3 linked regions of the Macaca fascicularis genome follow. The protein of the gene in region 1 interacts with the protein of each later gene in a pairwise test. Links are inferred from orthologs where the notes say so. Each region holds a gene or a part of one and is shown in the gene's direction. Other genes may lie near its edges.

Region 1 (5,736 bases):
GGCATGCTGGGGCGGCGCGTGCACAGGGAGGGCAGGACGCACGCGTGCCCAAGCCCCGCCCACACCTAAAGGAGGCGGGCCGAGACGCTGGAGCTCTCTGCGCATGCGCTCAACCCTCCCAGTCCGTCATTGGTCTCGGGGTTGCGTGGGCGGAGCCTCTTGCGGTACCCCTCCAGAGCCGCTGCGGTGGCTAGAAAGGACGGTTTCCTTGGAAACCGCACGCCGCTGACGCCTCTCAGCCTCTGTCTGAGCGGTTCTTTCCGCGGAAACTTCGCCTGGGCTTCAGGCTACCGTGTTATTGTGTGCTTGCCTCCCTTCTTATAGCTGTGTGTTGGGCCAGTGTTATTATCGATCGCTAACTGTATCCCAGGCCCACTTTCCAGCATCTGAATCAGACGAATCAATTACATTAACCAGAAGTTTTGGTGTTTGGTTGTTTTTGAGACGGAGTCTCGCTCTGTCGCCCAGGCTGGAGTGCAGTGGCAGCAATCTCGGCTCACTGCAACCTCCGCCTCCCGGGTTCAAGCAATTCTCCTGCCTCAGCCTCTCGAGTAGCTGGGACTACAGGCGCGAGCCGCCACGCTCGGCTAATTTTCGTATTTTTAGTAGAGACAGGGTTTCACCATGTTGGCCAGGATGGTCTTAATCTCTTGACCTCGTGATCCGCCCGCCTCGGCCGCCCAAAGTGCTGGGATTACAGGTGTGAGCCACCGCGCCCGGCCAAGGTTTATTTTTTGTCAGAAACATAAGCAAGTAAACTGATTCATGTCAAATAACAGGTGTTTTGGAACAGTGCAGTAACCTGACCTACATCCAGTGTTGTGGGTTGAAACAAAAAACATCTGGAACCGTCTGTCTTGAACTGTTATGGCACCCAGAAAAAACAATGTACTACAATTAAACTGGCAAAAACGAAGCAACCGACCTCCTTTCCTTTTATGTTTTTTGTTTTTGTTTCGTTTTGTTTTGGAGGGACTGGACGGAGTCTCACTCTGTCGCCCAGGCTGGAGTACCATGGCGCGATCTCGGCTCACTGCAACCTCTGCCTCTCGGGTTCAAGCGATTCTCCTGCCTCAACCTCCCGAGTAGCTGGGACTACAGATGCCCGCACCACGCCCGGCTAGTTTTTGTATTTTTAGTAGAGACAGGTTTTCAGCATGTTGGCCAGGCTGGTCTCGAACTTCTGACCTCAAGTGATCTGCCCCTTGGCCTCCCAAAGTGCTGGGATTACAGGTGTCAGCCACCGCGCCCGGTCTCACCTTCTTTATTTCTGCAAAAGAAATTAAAATAATCCACGCCATTAATCGTGCATGTATTTCGAGTAGGACAACAATGAATTGGGAGAACATTTCTGTCAATTATAACTCAGATGGTGATCAGTTTTCTGTCGTCCTTGGAAATTTCTCATCTCTCATCTCTATTTTTTTTTCCATATGTCTTGAGCACACCAAGCTTTTACATTGGCCTTCATTTTTGCTGTTCCCTGTGCCTGGGGTCCGTTTGGACTTTTTCCTATCCTTGAAATCCAAATCTAAAGGATGATCTTTCCTACCCATACCATACAACTTAGCTCCCGGTGGCAATCACACCACCTTCATTTTTTTTGTAGTGTTAGCTGTGAAATTTCTTGTTTATCTACTTATGTACTAGTTTATTAGTTTATAGTTCGTCTACCCCAATGCAAAATAATGACAGTAGACACTTTGCTGGTTTTTATGACTGGTTTGCAATAAATATGGAATATTAGGCACCTGCTGCCTACTAATGTTTCTATTCTCACAAGCGTCTCATAAATTGACTGCATGAAAGAATGCATTTGTGGGTGAGTAGATGGGTGGGTGAATAAATGAACAAAGATAGCGAGCGGACAACACTGACTCCCATTCATTGCGGGGCTATGACGCTCTGGAGTCCAGGTGGCCAAACGCGGCTGCACCACGTGGCCGGCCCAGCACCACGTGGTCAGCTCGGCGACCGGCTGGAGTCAGCCACTGTTCCACCGTGCACCGCTTCGTTCCCGCCCTAGAGGGCAAACCAGCCCCGACTTCCGGCCTCCATTAGGTCGTAGAGGTCAGTTGCCCTAACGACCAGCTGGTTCCCGCCTCTACGTTGCGTCACTTCCTTCCACGCCCACCTCGATCATTAACGCGCCTGTGCAGAAGGGAAGCAACCCGGGGAGCCCTTCTTCTGCGCAGGCGTCGCGCCCGGGGGCCGGGGCCGGGCGGCTCCGCGGTGCGCAAGCGCAACCGTCGGTGGGTCGGGGATCGGTCGCCTGAGAGGTGAGTGAGGGGCACTGTGCTGAGCCTGGCGGGTGTGGGGTCTGCGACTCGGGGCTCACGGGGCCCCAGAGCCCGTAAGAGGTTGGGGATCGTGAGGCCAGGGTCAGCGCGACCCGCGGGGTCCTGTGAGTAGGCGGAGCGGAGGGGAAACTGAGGCCGGGCGGCATCGGCAGGCCCTTCGAGCCCTGATCTCCCTTCCCCGGGCCCCAGGTCCTGGAAATGCTGGTCCGCGGACTGGTGGCGAGGACGGCTGGAGGGGAAGGCGCCCCGCATGTACTGAGCGCTCGCTGGGTGTTCGCTGCCGTTCCGCTCTTACTAACTGCCTGGAAAAGTCGTCCCTGTGACTCGGGGACCCCCGTTTGTGGGGACTCAAGTCGGGGCTCTGGTCCCAGCGTCGCCAGTCCCTACCTGGGTGACCTTGCCCAGCCTCTTGGCTTCTCGGAGCCTCAGTTTTCCCGTCTGTAAAACGGGCGTTGTCAGAAGTCCCTGCCTGGGAGAATGAGAGCCGCCGCAGGGTCCAGCGGAATCTGAGAACTCCAAAGAATTAGCAGCCGTTCGTCTTATTTCATGTTTAGAGTCTTCTTCTGCATATCGTGCTAGAGGTGGGGGAAATCTGGGATTCAGAACCAGCCCACCACCACCACCCACCCGCTGTGTAAACCTGGATGAGTTGCCTTCCCTCTCTGAGCAAACCTTCTTTTTCGTAAACGAGTTGTAAAAGCAGATGTCTGGGAGGGTCATTATGAGGATAAGCCCACATTCAATGATTTGATCAGGTGCCTGGAACTTGATAAGAGAGAGCTGGCTTGAGAACAGCTGTTTTTGTTATTAGGTGGCAGAAAATTGCAGTGCAATGTGCCTCTCAGAGGTTGGATCATTGTCCCGTTTACTTTTGCTTCTGTCTCTGATTATTCGTTCTCTCTGCCTTTTCCCTCCCTTGACCAGTGTGGTTCTCAACCAGGAACAATTCTGTGCCCCAGAGATTCTTGGTGACATTTGTGCTTTTCACGATTCAGGGGACCCCCTGGTTTGGAGTCGGTGGAGGCCAGGGTTGCTGCTCAGCACCCTGCAGTGCCCAGGACGGCCCCACCCCAGAAAACGATCCAACTTTGAATGTCAATAACGCTTTAAAAACCACACCCTACCATACGGGTGGATCACCTGAGGTCAGGAGTTCGAGACCAGCCTGACCAATGTGGTGAAACCCCGTCTCTCTTGAAAATACAAAACTTAGCTGGGCATGGTGGCGTGCGCCTGTAATCCCAGCTACTCAGGAGGCTGAGGCAGAAGAATCCCTTGAACCCAGGAGGCAGAGGTTACAGAGACCCAAGATCACGCCACTGCACTCCAGCCTGGGTGACAGAGCGAGACCCTGTCAAAAAAAACCAAAAAACAAAAAAAACCTACCCTAGATCAGTGATTCTTCCCCAGCATGGGCAGCTGGGAGTGTGTGGGCCCGGGAAATGGTATACAAAGTTTTGTGTGTGCACCCAATTTTGTGTGGCGAGAAGTGGGCACTTTGGAGTTTAGCTTCTCAAGTGAGGCTGCCTGGGTTCAGAACGCCTCATTTGCATCCTCCTAGCTGGGTGGTCTTGGGTGGTTCCCATCTTTCCAAGCCTCAGTTTTTCTTCTGTGGAATGGGGATTATAAAAGTAACCACCTCAGGTGTGTGAGGATTCAACCGGGCAAGGTATCAGCTAACCAGAAGGCCAAATCCACCTCTGGCCTGTTTTTGGGAATGAAGGTTTGTGGGAACACAGCCACACTCCTTGGTTTGCATGTTACCTGTGGTTGGTTTCGAGCTAAGAAGACACAGTTGAACAGTTGCCGTAGGGACCTTAGCGCCTGCCGAGCTGAAGACAGTCTGGCCCTTTTCAGAAAAACCTCTGCTGACCCCTAAAATAAGCTATCGCATGTACAGCACTTAGCTGGGTGCCTGGAAAGCTGTAAGCGCGCCAAGGATTTGAGCTGAGGTTTATAATTAAATCTTCCTAGAAGGGTGAATGATTCCAAATGGGGGTGAGCTCTGCCCCAGATTGGACGGATCCTTGAGAGCGGCAGTCTTACTCAATTCTATGGTTGTTTTTTTGCCAAGACCCAACAGTGGCCCTGGTAGGAAGTGCTCGGTACAGGCCGAAGGCATAAAAGGGGTGGTTTGAGATAAGGTCTTGCTCTGTCGCCCAGGCTGGAGTGTAGTGGCGCAATCTCCGCTCACTGCAGCCTCGACCTCCCGGGCTCAGGCCCTCCCACCTCAGCCTCCTGAGTAGCTGGGACTACAGGTGTGCACTACCACACCCGGCTAATTTTAGTATTTTGTTGTTTTAGAGATAGGGTTTCACCGTGTTACCCAGGCTGGTCTCAAACTCCTGGGTTCAAGCGATCCTCCACCTTGGCCTCCAGAGTTCTGTGATTACAGGCGTGCCTCACTGCACCTGGCCCGTTTTCTCTTTTACTGAGGTGGAAACAGAAACCCAGAGAGAAATGGCCTCCCCATTTCAAGGAACTTGACCACGTGTCTGTGAATTTTTCAACCATCGAAGGCTTTCCTGAGTCCATAGGGTTTAGACGCTGCCAGATGCTGGCGTTCAAAGGGAAGCTGGGTCTGTCAAGAGGTAGAAAGCCTTGTAAGAGATGCTGGGCCAGAGATGGAGTTTGCAGGAATACTAGATTCTCTCCTAGAGTTGGGCAGGAGAGGTGAGCACTTGAGTTTGAGTGGCACGTACAGGGTTTGGTGTAGGCCCCACAGACGACCCCCAGCTGGTGGGGGGGCCTCCTATGCACACTCCTGGGGTTCCAGGGAGCACTTGAGGGCTTTTATGTGTACAGTGACCTCCTGGTGGCATTTTAGAAGAAAGTGGACTTCGATGTGGGGAGTGGGCAGGGGACTGAGCTAGAACTCGGGTGTCCTGAGAGGGAGTGAGGAGCAGGGCACCTGGCTTTCCTGCCCTGCTGTTGGTGAGAAGCAACGTGGATTTGGGATGGAGGCGGGCAGAGTGCTCACAGAAGGCGGTGGGCAAGAGCGGGCGCTTCCTACTGGAGTGTAAGGAGGTAAGATGGCCTCAGTTTACGAGGATATTCTGTTTTTTTCCATTGAATGATCCATTCTGGGCAGGGAAATAAGGAAGAGAGGTGGTTGTGAGTTTTTTGTCTGGTTTTAGAGACAGGGTCTCACTTTGTCACCCGGGCTGGAGTGCAGAGCCCAGTCACAGCTCACTGCAGCCTCCAACTCCTGGGCTCAAAACGATCTTCTCGCCTCAGCCTCTCAAGCAGCTGGGACTACTGATGTGTGCCGCCACGTCAGGCTAATTTTTTTTTTTTTTGGTGGAGTCTCTTTTGTAGGGTCTCACTGTACACTGTATAATAGCCCAAACTGGTCTCGAACACCTGGACTCGAGCGATTCTCTCGCCTCGGCCTCCCAAAGTGCTGGGATTACAGGCGTGAGCCCCCGCCCCTGAC
Region 2 (5,731 bases), on another chromosome or scaffold:
GGGGGAAGAGGCTGGACTAGGCTTTCAGTCCCTCTGCCTGGGGCTTCTGGCTGCTCCATCAACTTCCAACATCCCAAAAATCAGAGAGGAGGTCAAGGGATTGGATGAGAGGCTCCAAGCGCTCCTTAGCCCGCTGTGCAGGAAGAAGCGAGTGTTTCCTGGCTATGGGTGAACTTCCTGGCCAACATTAAACAATACAGCATCCCGCCCCCTGTGCGGGGCTGTCTGTCTCCCTCGGCGCTTCCAGAAGGTCTCAGTGTGGTGCTAGAGTATCTAACACTTCCTGATTTGCAGATCATCATTCCCTTTTCTTGTTAACAAAGAGCAGTGCCGGGCGCAGTGGCTCATGCCTGTAATTCCCACACTTTGGCAGGCTGAGGCAGGCAGATCACCTCAGGTCGGGAGTTCGAGACCAGCCTGGTCAGCATGGTGAAACCCTGTCTCTACTAAAAATACAAACATTAGGCTGGGCGCGGTGGCTCACGCCTGTAATCCCAGCACTTTGGGAGGCCGAGACGGGCGGATCACAAGGTCAGGAGATCGAGACCATCCTGGCTAACACGGTGAAACCCCGTCTCTACTAAAAAATACAAAAACCTAGCCGGGCGAGGTGGCGGGCGTCTGTAGTCCCAGCTACTCGGGAGGCTGAGGCAGGAGAATGGCGTGAACCCGGGAGGCGGAGCTTGCAGTGAGCTGAGATCTGGCCACTGCACTCCAGTCTGGGCAACAAAGCGAGACTCTGTCTCAACAAACAAACAAACAAACAAACAAACAAACAAACATTAGCCGGGCGTGGTGGCAGGCGCCTGTAATCCCAGCTACTCAGGAAGCTGAGGCAGGAGAATCAATTGAACCTGGGAGGCGGAGGTTGCAGTGAGCAGAGATCATGCCATTGTACCCCAGCCTGGGCAACAGAGCGAGACTCCATCTCAAAACAAAACAAAACACAACACAACAAACAAAAAAAACACAGCTGAGTTTTAGGTCAATGCTTCCATCAGGGAACAGAATTTAGATCTTAACAATTTTGTTTACATTATATTTATTTTCATCTTTTACCTTCTATTGATGGCAAATGAGACTGATTTTTCATTTACAGAAGTGATACAAAAAAAGAGTCCTGTCACAATAATTTTAATAAGTGAATAATGAGCCAATTTAGAGAAAAATATAAAGCAAATAATAGTACAGGTGGTAAACTAATATGGCAAAATTACTAATATTCAAGGCTGAAGTTTGGCCGGGCATGGTGGCTCATGTAATCCCAACACTCTGGGACTTGGGGATGAGTGGCTCTCTTGAGCCCAGGAATTCAAGACCAGCCTGGGCAACACAGCAAGACCCCATCTCTAAAAAAAAAAAAAAAAATAGCCAGGTGTGGTGGTACATGCCTGTAGTTACACCCACTGGGGAGACTGAGGTGGGAGGATCACTGAAGCCCAGGAGTTCAAGGTTGCAGTGAGCTGAGATTGTGCCACTGTATTCCAGCCTGGGCAACAGAGTAAGACCCTGTTTCAAAAAAAAAAAAAAAAGTGGCCGGGTGCAGTGCTCATGCCTGTAATCCTAGCGTTTTGGGAGGCTAAGGCTGCTGGATCACTTGAGCCTAGGAGTTGGAAACCTGCCCGGGAAGTATGGTGAGACCCTGTCTCTACAAAAAAATCCAAACATTAGCTGGGCGTGGTGGTATGTACCTGTAGTCCCAGCTATTCTAGAGGTTGAGGTGGGAGGATTGCTTGAGCCTAGGAGATCCAGGCTGCAGTGAGTTGAGATTGCATCACTGCAGTCCAGCCTGGGTGACAGAGTTGAGATTCTGTCTCAAAAAAAAAAAAAAAAAAAAAAGTGAAGTTTGAAAAATTAGACCTCCAGGGAAATGGAAACTACATCTGCTGCTCACCCACCTGCCTCTCCTAAAGGGAAGATCGGGTACTTGGGGTCCCATTTCTATGGGGTGGAGCATTATAAGTAAGCCTAGCTTGTGGCAAATCTGTCTCTCTGGACACTCCAGCAAGCTGGAAGGGACGATGATCAGAGGGCACAGTTTGGGAGCTGCCCTGCTCTGGGACTCCTCTCCACATTGGATGAAACTCAGTTCTCCCTGGCCATGGCGTTCCTCACCATGGAGTGGTGAGGGTCCTAAGCTGAGGCGTGTGCAGATGGAGGAGGAGGGGCAGGGAGCCTGTGGATTTTCTCTGACTCCAGGTCCCCACTCCAGGAAGACAGCGCCGCTCCAGCTTGGCCCAGCACAGTTCCTCCTTGCATTTTGGGGGTCAAAGCCGCAGTTCATTTGAAACAAAATGCTCCTCTGCCTGGTCTGGTCCTCTCTTTGTGTATTTTCCTAGAGGACCTCACAGTGGGTGAGTGGCCAAGGAGAACAGGATTTGTGCCTCTGGGAAACTGGATTCCTGTCATCTCCTGCCAGCTGTCATCACCACACCGAGGCTGTTCAGCACCGCGGGACCCTTTCTCTTTGGTATTGGTGGCTTCGGTAAATACTGAGGGAAGGTGGAGGTGGTGGTCGATGCCTTTTCCTGCCTATCTGGTACCTTGGGTTCTTTATCTTGATGCGATCTTGAAGGCTTCTGGCCTGGTGTTGGCTCCACCCCCAGGTCTCTGAACCACAGCCGAGGCAGCTGAGCAGAGGCACTGCTCGGCTTCCCCTAGTCCACACAGCCTGGCCACCACCCCGAACTGGGGAGGGGGACTCTAGTGGAGGGGGCCTGGGAGGGGCATCTTCCCTGGGGCAGTCTCAGTCCTAATGCTGGACGCTGGGGTCCCTGGTCCCACTGAGGCAGGGCCTTCCTCACGGGTCTCTGGGGAACCCTGGGAATTCAGAACCCCACACTGGTCCGGCCTTCACGCCTCCAGAAAGCTGAGATCTGCTCCAAAGTGACCCGTGGCTGGAGGCCCCACTCGGGATCCGGGCTCCGTGGCCGCTGCCTCCTGGCCTGGGGGCTCCCAAACTGGGCTCTGGCCTCTGGCCTCTGCTCGGGTTCAGCCCAGCTCACCAGGCCCGTGCCGGGGGGCCTCCCCTCCCAGGGCTGGGGCCCCCAGAAGGTGCTCCGGGCTGGGACCTCCGGTGGAGTCTGGGGGCCCAAGGAGCTGGGAGCAGAATTTGGGGCTGAGGGGGCATATGGGGCAGTTGCTTGGGCCTCCAAGACGCCCACTGGGGTGGGAGGCTCAGGGGCCCGGTCTGTCAGCAGGGGGACCGCAGATCCGTACCAGTCCTCAGAGCGCTCTCGGGGGGTGCCCATGGGCTCAATCCACAGCTCTCCTCCTGGGCGCCACACCAGGGTGGGTGCATGGTGGCTGGGGTCTGGGCGGAGAGCCCGGCGGAACAGGCGTTCAGCCAACACAGCGGTGGTGAGGATGAAGAGCGCAGCCAGGGTGGCCAGGGCCAGCATGATGGGGATGCAGGGCCCACAGGGCAGTGAGGGCCATGGGGCTGCCTCCCACGTGGGGGGCCCCTCCATGCGCCCAGAGGGCGGCTCTGGAGTCGACGGCATCTGGAAGACATGGGGCGAGAAGAGAAAGTAAATGAGGCAGAGGGGGCACAACAAAGATGAGAGAGAGGCAGCAGGTGTCCAGGAAAGCCTGGGAGAGGGGCTGGGCTCGGGGGCTCATGCCTGGAATCCTAGCACTTTGAGAGGCCGAGGCAGGATGATCGCTTGAGCCCAGGAGTTCAAGACCAGCCTGGACACACAGTGAAACCTCATCGCTATAAATAATTTAAAAACTAGCTGGGCATGGTGGCTCACACCTGTAGTCCCAGCTACACAGGAAGCTGAGGTGGGAGGATTACTTGAGCCCAGGAGTTCGAGGCTGCAGTGAGCCCAGATTGCACCACTGTCCTCCAGCCTGGGTGACAGAGCAAGACCCTTTCTCAAAAAAGAAAAAGAACATTCTGGAGAGACAGAGGAGCAAGGGGGACCAGAAAGGGTAAGCGTGAGCCAGGTGGGGCGGGAGGACAGGCTGCCTACCTATGCGCACAGCCAGGCCCTCTTCCCCAGCTCTCCAGGCCTTTCCAGAAGCCCCATTTCCCTCCCGGACCCCAGGGTGCCTCAGACCAGAAAGGTCTTGAGGGCCTCTTTCCTCCCCACTCGGCCCCCTCAAGTCTTGCTTAGGCCTAGAGAGGAAGTGGTGGGTGAAGAAATGAGAACCTCCCCTCCGACCGGCTCCCCTGTGTGTGTCTCCCCTACCGCCTCCCACCGGCCACCTCTGCTGGCCCCTTGGGGCTCCTTCGCCCCTTACCAGTCTCCTTGGACTTGATCTTGTTCTCATAGACTCCGTGGAATCGCGGAATCTGCTGCCGGGCCAGGCCAGGCCTCCGGAGGCGCCTCTGCACCCCTCCCAGGTTCCCCAGCTTTGCCCAGGCTCTGGCCTGTCTCTCTCTCTTGTTCGTCTCTGCACACCTCTCTCTGTCCCCCACATCCTCCATCTGCAGGGGCCTCCTGCACCCCTCAACTCACCTTGGGTCAGTCCCTGGGCGCCTCTCCCTCCTAGAGCCACTCTTCCTGGTGCCGGACTAAGAGATGCAGGCTCGGAAGGTGCAGGGCAGTCCGCCTTTCAGACATAGAGGCCGGGCCTCGGATGAAGGCGGAAGGGAGGGCACCGCCTGTTGCTGGGCAACTGTGCCCCAACTCGCCTGCCCCCGGGGAGTGTTTGTTTCCAAAGCAACCCAAGGGGATGTGGTCACTGCGGTGAGGAGGCTTTTCCTGGGGTAAGGTGGGGCTGGAATGGGCAATGGCTCTGTTGAACTTAGTGTCACCCCATAGCCAGGCCCTGGGCCCCAGAACATTCACCCAGAAGCTGAGAAAGAGGACGCAGGGGCCAGGCACAGTGGCTCACCCCTGTAATCCCAGCATTTTGAGAGGTCAAGGTGGGCAGGTCACCTGAGGTCAGGAGTTCGAGACCAGCCTGCCAACATGGCGAAACCCCATCTCTACTGAAAAATACAAAAATTAGCCGGATGTGGTGATGGGCACCTGTAATCCCAGCTGCTCGGGAGGCTGAGGCAGGGAGAATCACTTGAACCTGGGACTCAGAGGTTGCAGTGAGCTGAGATCGTGCCACCACACTCCAGCCTGGTTGACAGAGCGAGACTCCATCTTAAAAAGAAAGAAAAAGAGGCCGGGCGCGGTGGCTCAACCCTGTAATCCCAGCACTTTGGGAGGCCGAGATGGGCGGATCACGAGGTCAGGAGATCGAGACCATCCTGGCTAACACGGTGAAACCCCGTCTCTACTAAAAAATACAAAAAACTAGCCGGGCGCGGTGGCGGGCGCCTGTAGTCCCAACTACTCGGGAGGCTGAGGCAGGAGAATGGCGTGAACCCGGGAGGCGGAGCTTGCAGTGAGCTGAGATCCGGCCACTGCACTCCAGCCTGGGCGGCAGAGCGAGACTCCGTCTCAAAAAAAAAAAAAAAAAAAAAAGAAAGAAAAAGAAATAGGACACAAGTAATCTAGCCCGTACATTCCTAGAGAACCATGGTGCCTCCCCCTGCTCCTCCTGGGAGGATGCCCCACCCCATCCTGCCTTGTCCTATCCACGGTGCCTCCCCAGATCTGCTCCTGCCATCCAGCCCCCACAGGCACCCCCTGCTTGACCAACTTGCTTCACACTTTTTTTTTTAAATTTTTTTTTTTTTTGATAGGGATGGGCTCCCGCTATGTTGCCCAAGCTGGTCTCAAGCTCCTGGCCTCAGGATATCCTCCTGCCTCCGTCTCCCAAAGTG
Region 3 (5,486 bases), on another chromosome or scaffold:
CCCCTACACACCAGATGCTAGTGTCCCTCCACCCTGAGTTGTGACAACCCAGATTGTCTCCAGACACTCCCAAATGTCCCTGGCTGGCAAAATTGCCGCTGCTCAAGAATCACGGCTTTGACGATTAGACTTTGTGATATTTGTTTCAGTCTGTTTAGTTTTTTTTGTTTTTTCTACCTGTATTTTTTTTCTGGTTCTGGGTGGTTGTAATTAATAGGTTCATTGATGGATTCACCTAACATTTCATGAAAGTTTCGTGTGTGTGTGTGTGTTTCAATAGAAGCATAAACTATACTCCCTAGTCTCAAGATACACAGGAAGGAAAATAAGCACAAATGTGTCACCAGGGCACAGACAAGTCCTAGGTCCTCAGCAGGCCAGGTGTCTTATCCACTGTCTGGGTCTGCTCTAACTCCAGGCTTAGAACCCCTGCCACACGACTCCACAGCTTGGCTGGCACCCTTTCCCTGCTCCGACTTCTGCTGCCTTGAGCTTGGCTAGCTGTCCCCCTGCCCCCGCCTCACCCTCAGCTCCAGTGTCTTGCTCAGGCTGCAGCAGTCTCCATCCCCTGTGCAGACACTGCCCTTCCTCCACAGCCCAGGACCAGGTTTTCCCTGGGCCTCTCCTCTCTCCTGGCCCATCTCCCATCACCCATCTCTGCCTGGCCCAGGCCCTTTGGCACTGAGCAGCCTGACTCTCGTCACTGGCTAATGTGTTCTGTGGTACATTTTCTCTCCTCACCCTCCCATATCAATTCCTCGAAGGCAGGGCCAGGGGAGACTAGGAAGCCACTTCCCTTTCGACAGCCCCCGCCACAGCCCTGCCTGTGCCAGGCACCTAGCAGCTCCTGAAGCCCACTGGCATTGAACATAGCATTCAATCCCTGCCAAGCCTGCCCTTCCCATCTGGTTTCCCAAGGCTCTTCCCAACACCACCTCCTCCACCTGCCAGTTAAAATCTTCCCAAACTCAGCTCAAGGAGATGCTTCTAAGGTGGAATGAAATATCTTCTTCCCCACCTGTAGACAATCTACTTCCTCTCCCACACCTGGCAACTGGCGCACGACCTTGTATATTAAATTAGATTCAGCCTGAGACTGTCTCCCACCAATCCCTGCCCCCTGTCCTGCTGAGCACCTGGAGGAAAGGGCTTTTGGGCTGTTTATCTTTGTCCTGGAAACCATCCTTCAACTCACTCTGGGCCCTGCCTAGCATGTCATCCGAGTTTGCAGAATAGAGCAGGACAGGACAGGGCAGGATAGGATAGGATAGGAGCGAGTGAGCCCGGTAGCTCACACCTGTAATCCCAGTTCCTCGGGGGCCTGCGGTAGGAGAATCGCTTTGGGAGCAGGAGTTGCAGGCCGCAGTGAGCTATGATCAGCTTGGGCGACCGAGCGAGACCCTTTCTCTAAAACAAACACACAAGGTCGGGTGCGGTGGCTTAGGCCTGTAATCCCAGCGCTTTGGGAGGCCGAGGCGGGCGGATCACGAGGTCAAGAGATCAAGACCATCCTGGCCAACATGGTGAAACCCCGTCTCTACTAAAAATACAAAAATTAGCTGGACTTGGTGGCGCGCGCCTGTAGTCCCAACTATTCGGGAGACTGAGGCAGGAGAATCGCTTGAACCCGGGAGGCAGAGGTTGCAGTGAGCCGAGATCGTGCCACTGCACTCCAGCTTGGCGACAGAGTGAGACTCCATCTCAAAACAAACAAACAAACAAAAGAATAGAAAGAGGAGCACAAATATTCCCAATTCATAACAGTCCCTCGCACTGTCAATGCCCCAGACACGCGCTATCATCTCTAGCAAACTCCCCCAGGCACCTGCAGGATGGGTGAAGGAAGGCGACGAGCACCAGCTGCCCTGCTGAGGCTGGCCCGGCGTCACATGATTTTCCAATCACATGATCCCTAGAAATGGGGTGTAGGGCGAGAGGAAGCGGGGAGGAGAGTGATTTGAGTAGAAAAGAAACACAGCATTCCAGGCTGGCCCCACCTCCACATTGATAAGTAGCCAATGGGAGTGCGGCAGCCCTGATCCCTGGCCAATGGAAACTGAGGTAGGCGGGTCACCGCGCTGGGATCTGTAGTCTGAGCGCTGCCCGGTTGCTGCTGCCCAGGGACCGCGGACCCGGACGCAGGTAGGAGGGCGGCCGCGCAGACCTCTGGCCTGCTCCTGCCCAGGGGCCCGGCTAGGGCCATGTGAGCTTGAGGTTCCCCGGGAGTCTCAGCCGGAGACAAGACAAGAACCGCTTATTGAAACTCCTTGGGGGTTCTGATACACTAGAGGGAGTTTTATGGGAAAGAGGAAGCAGTAACTGCAGTGACCTCTGTTAGAAGGGGGCTTTCTACCTCCCCAGCATTCCCCCAAAGCAGGGACCACACCATTCTTGACTCAGCTCCACCCCTGTCGGTAGGTGCCGGCTTCTTTCCCTCTCGTGGTGGTGGTGGGTGGTTCCCGCGGCGGCCTGAAGCCGGAGGGGCGCGCGACCCTGGGCTGGGAGCTCCGAGGGCCTGGGAACGGGACCTGAAACCTTGGCTTCTCGAAGGTAGTAGGGACTTGGGAGTGGTGACTGAACCTGGTCTGGCTCCTCCTTACTTCCTCTTTTTGGGGGTGGGACGAGCTAACTTCCGCCTCTCCCAGCCACTTTTTCCTGCTCAGTTGCAGCTAGGCTGGCTCCCCTTTTGGGAATTTCCTCTCCCCTTGGCACTCGGAGTTGGGGGCTGCCACCTAGTGGAAGATAACGGAGCTAGGGTCTTGAAGAGGCTGCTGTCCCCTCTGGCTGTTTTGGCGGTGTAGGGTGGCGTGAGAGACTGCGACTCGCCTCCTCATCCCTGTTTCTGTATGTGTGTGCATGTATTCAGTAGAAGCATACACTATACTCCCTCAACTCAGGGTAAACAGGAGGGGCCATGCACAGGTAACTCACCAGAGAGCTGAACACTCCTGTGCAGACAGACTCCCCTTCCCAGCAAGCCAGGGCAGCGGACAGCCTGCTGAGAACACGCAGGAAGTAGGCGGTGCCAGCTGCAGGTGCTTTGCCTGGGAGCTGTGGGGCTGAGGAGAGGGTCCACTGTCCAGGACCAGTCAACTGCATCCTTATCTGTCCAGGAGGTGGCCTCTTCGGGATGCTGAGTTAGGGGAGGGGCACTTGAGGAAAGCCAATTGGAGCAGAGAGGATGTGAGTGACTGGGTGGGTGACATTTCCTGCCCTTCCCCCCTCCAATGATATCCACACAAGACTCGTGGGGGAACTGAGGCACAGACAGGGAGCAACTTCTCAGGCCCTCACAGTTGGCAATTCCAGGATTAGGACTCAAGTGCGATTTCCAGGCAGTCCCTGTTTCTGTGGTACCTGTTGCACCTATCCCCCTGGGGCGTAGGGGTCCATTCTCAGGCACTGCCCATTGTGCCACTAGTGATATTAACCCAGGTCCAATACGCTCTGGGGCCATCAAAGCCTGTCGTCACCATGACCTGATGTGTGACATGTTATCGGTGTCCCTTGGTATCTTCATGGAACTGGTTCCAGGACCCCAAAGTCTGGGTGCTCAAGTCCTTGATACAAAATGGTGTGATATTTGCATATAACCTATACATACTTTAAATCATTTCTAGATTACTTATGCCTAATACAATGGAAATGCCATGTTGGCTGGGCACGGTGGCTCATGCCTGTAATCCCCACACTTTGGGAGACTGTGGTGGGTGGATCACCTGAGGTCAGGAGTTCGAGACTGGCAGCCTGGCCAACATGGTGAAACCCCTATCTCTACTAAAAATACAAAAATTAGCCAGGTGTGGTAGCAGACTCAGGAGGCTGCTCAGGAAGCTGAGGCAGGAGAATTGCTTGAACCCGGGAGGCAGAGGTTGCAGTGAGCTGAGATTGCGCCACTGTACTACAGCCTGGGCGTCAGAGCAAGACTCCGTCTCAAAAAAAAAAAGAAAAGAAAAGAAAAGAAAAAGAGTGCAGCACACCAACATGGCACAAGTATACATATATAACAAACCTGCACGTTATGCACATGTACCCTACAACTTAAAGTATAATAATAATAAATAAATTTAAAAAAAGAAAAGAAAAAGAAATGCCATGTAAATAGTTGTGATCCTGAATTGTTTAGGGAATAATAAGAAAGAACAATCTGTACATGTTCAGTATAGATGCACCCATCCTAAGCCTAACTACATAGTATACCTCAGCAACAATGTAACATTTTCTGGGGTTTTTGTTTTGTTTTGTGAGACGGAATCTCAGTCTCGCTCTATCACCCAGGCTGGAGTATGGTGGCACGATCTCCTCCACTCACTGCAACCCCCACCTCCTGGGCTCAAGCGTTTTCCTGCCTCAGCCTCTTGAGTAGCTGGGATTACAGGTGTGCACTACCACGCATGGCTAATTTTTGTATTTTTAGTAGAGATGGGGGTTTCACCATGTTGGTCAGGCTGGTCTCGAACTCCTGACCTCGTGATCCGCCCACTTAGGCCTCCCAAAGTGCTGGGATTAGAGGTGTGAGCCACCACACCCAATATTTTTTGATCTCTGGTTGGATACGGAGGGCTGACTGTACTTAACATCTCTGAGCTTCAGTTTCTTCCTTTGAAAGTAAAAGTGGCTGGGCGTGGTGGCTCACGCCTGTAATCCCAGCACTCTGGGAGGCCGAGGTGGGTGGATCACGAGGTCAGGAGATCGAGACCATCCTGGCTAACACAGTGAAACCCCGTCTCTACTAAAATACAAAAAATTAGCCGAGCGTGCTGGCAGGCGCCTGTAGTCCCAGCTACTCAGGAGGCTGAGGCAGGAGAATGGCGTGAACCCAGGAGGTGGAGCTTGCAGTGAGCTGAGATAGCACCACTGCACTCCAGCCTGGGAGACAGGGAGAGTCCGTCTCAAACAAACAAACAAAAAAGTAAAGGTGAGGCCAGGTGTGGTGACTCAAGCCTGTAATCCCAGCACTTAGGGAGGCTGAGGCGGGTGGATCACCTGAGGTCAGGAGTTCAAGACCAGCCTGACCAATATGGTGAAACCCCCTCTCTACTAAAAATACAAAAATTAGCCCAGCATGGTGGCGGGTGCCTGTAGTCCCAGCTACTCAGGAGGCTGAGACAGGAGGATCGCTTGAACCTGGGAGGTGGAGGTTACAGTGAGCCGAGATCATGCCACTGAACTCTAGCATGGGCAACAGAGCAAGACTCCATCTCAAAAAAAAAAAAAAAAAAAAAGGGTGAGCAGGCTTGGTGGCACGCTCCCAAAGTCCCAGCTAATTGGGAGGCCAAGGTTGGAGGACTGCTTGATCCCAGGAGTTTGAGTCCAGCCTGGGCAACATAGCAATATCTCATCTCTAAAAATAAAAGTAAAGTAAAGGTATTAATTACTACTTTGGATGGTTGTTGCAAAGAAATAAAATAATGCAGAGTCTTGTAACTGGCTCCCAAGAGGCTCAACAGACATTACTGTTTTTGCTTCTTCAGGACGAGTTACCT

What was found.
Region 2: the proteins of SGTA (region 1) and ZG16 interact in binary tests that used the Homo sapiens proteins (3 or more experiments, as listed by UniProt). The two-hybrid records come from large-scale screens. The link is inferred for Macaca fascicularis from reciprocal best matches to the Homo sapiens genes SGTA and ZG16.
Region 3: the proteins of SGTA (region 1) and GRN interact in binary tests that used the Homo sapiens proteins (3 or more experiments, as listed by UniProt). The two-hybrid records come from large-scale screens. The link is inferred for Macaca fascicularis from reciprocal best matches to the Homo sapiens genes SGTA and GRN.

Annotation. Positions count from the first base shown.
Region 1 is NC_088393.1:3,463,103-3,468,838, reverse strand, and holds the start of SGTA (small glutamine-rich tetratricopeptide repeat-containing protein alpha), read left to right. Parts: upstream 1-2,238; 5' UTR 2,239-2,279; intron 2,280-5,736. UniProt on the Homo sapiens protein: Co-chaperone that binds misfolded and hydrophobic patches-containing client proteins in the cytosol. Mediates their targeting to the endoplasmic reticulum but also regulates their sorting to the proteasome when targeting fails.
Region 2 is NC_088394.1:28,357,068-28,362,798, reverse strand, and holds the start of ZG16 (zymogen granule membrane protein 16), read left to right. Parts: upstream 1-2,354; 5' UTR 2,355-2,485; exon of another isoform or gene 2,486-2,828; coding exon of another isoform or gene 2,829-3,503; intron 3,504-3,797; exon of another isoform or gene 3,798-3,936; intron 3,937-4,466; exon of another isoform or gene 4,467-4,589; intron 4,590-5,731. Other genes in the region: C20H16orf54 (transmembrane protein C16orf54 homolog), read right to left, coding at 2,829-3,503. UniProt on the Homo sapiens protein: May play a role in protein trafficking. May act as a linker molecule between the submembranous matrix on the luminal side of zymogen granule membrane (ZGM) and aggregated secretory proteins during granule formation in the TGN.
Region 3 is NC_088390.1:65,405,637-65,411,122, forward strand, and holds the start of GRN (progranulin), read left to right. Parts: upstream 1-2,109; 5' UTR 2,110-2,142; exon of another isoform or gene 2,143-2,550; intron 2,551-5,486. UniProt on the Homo sapiens protein: Secreted protein that acts as a key regulator of lysosomal function and as a growth factor involved in inflammation, wound healing and cell proliferation. Regulates protein trafficking to lysosomes, and also the activity of lysosomal enzymes.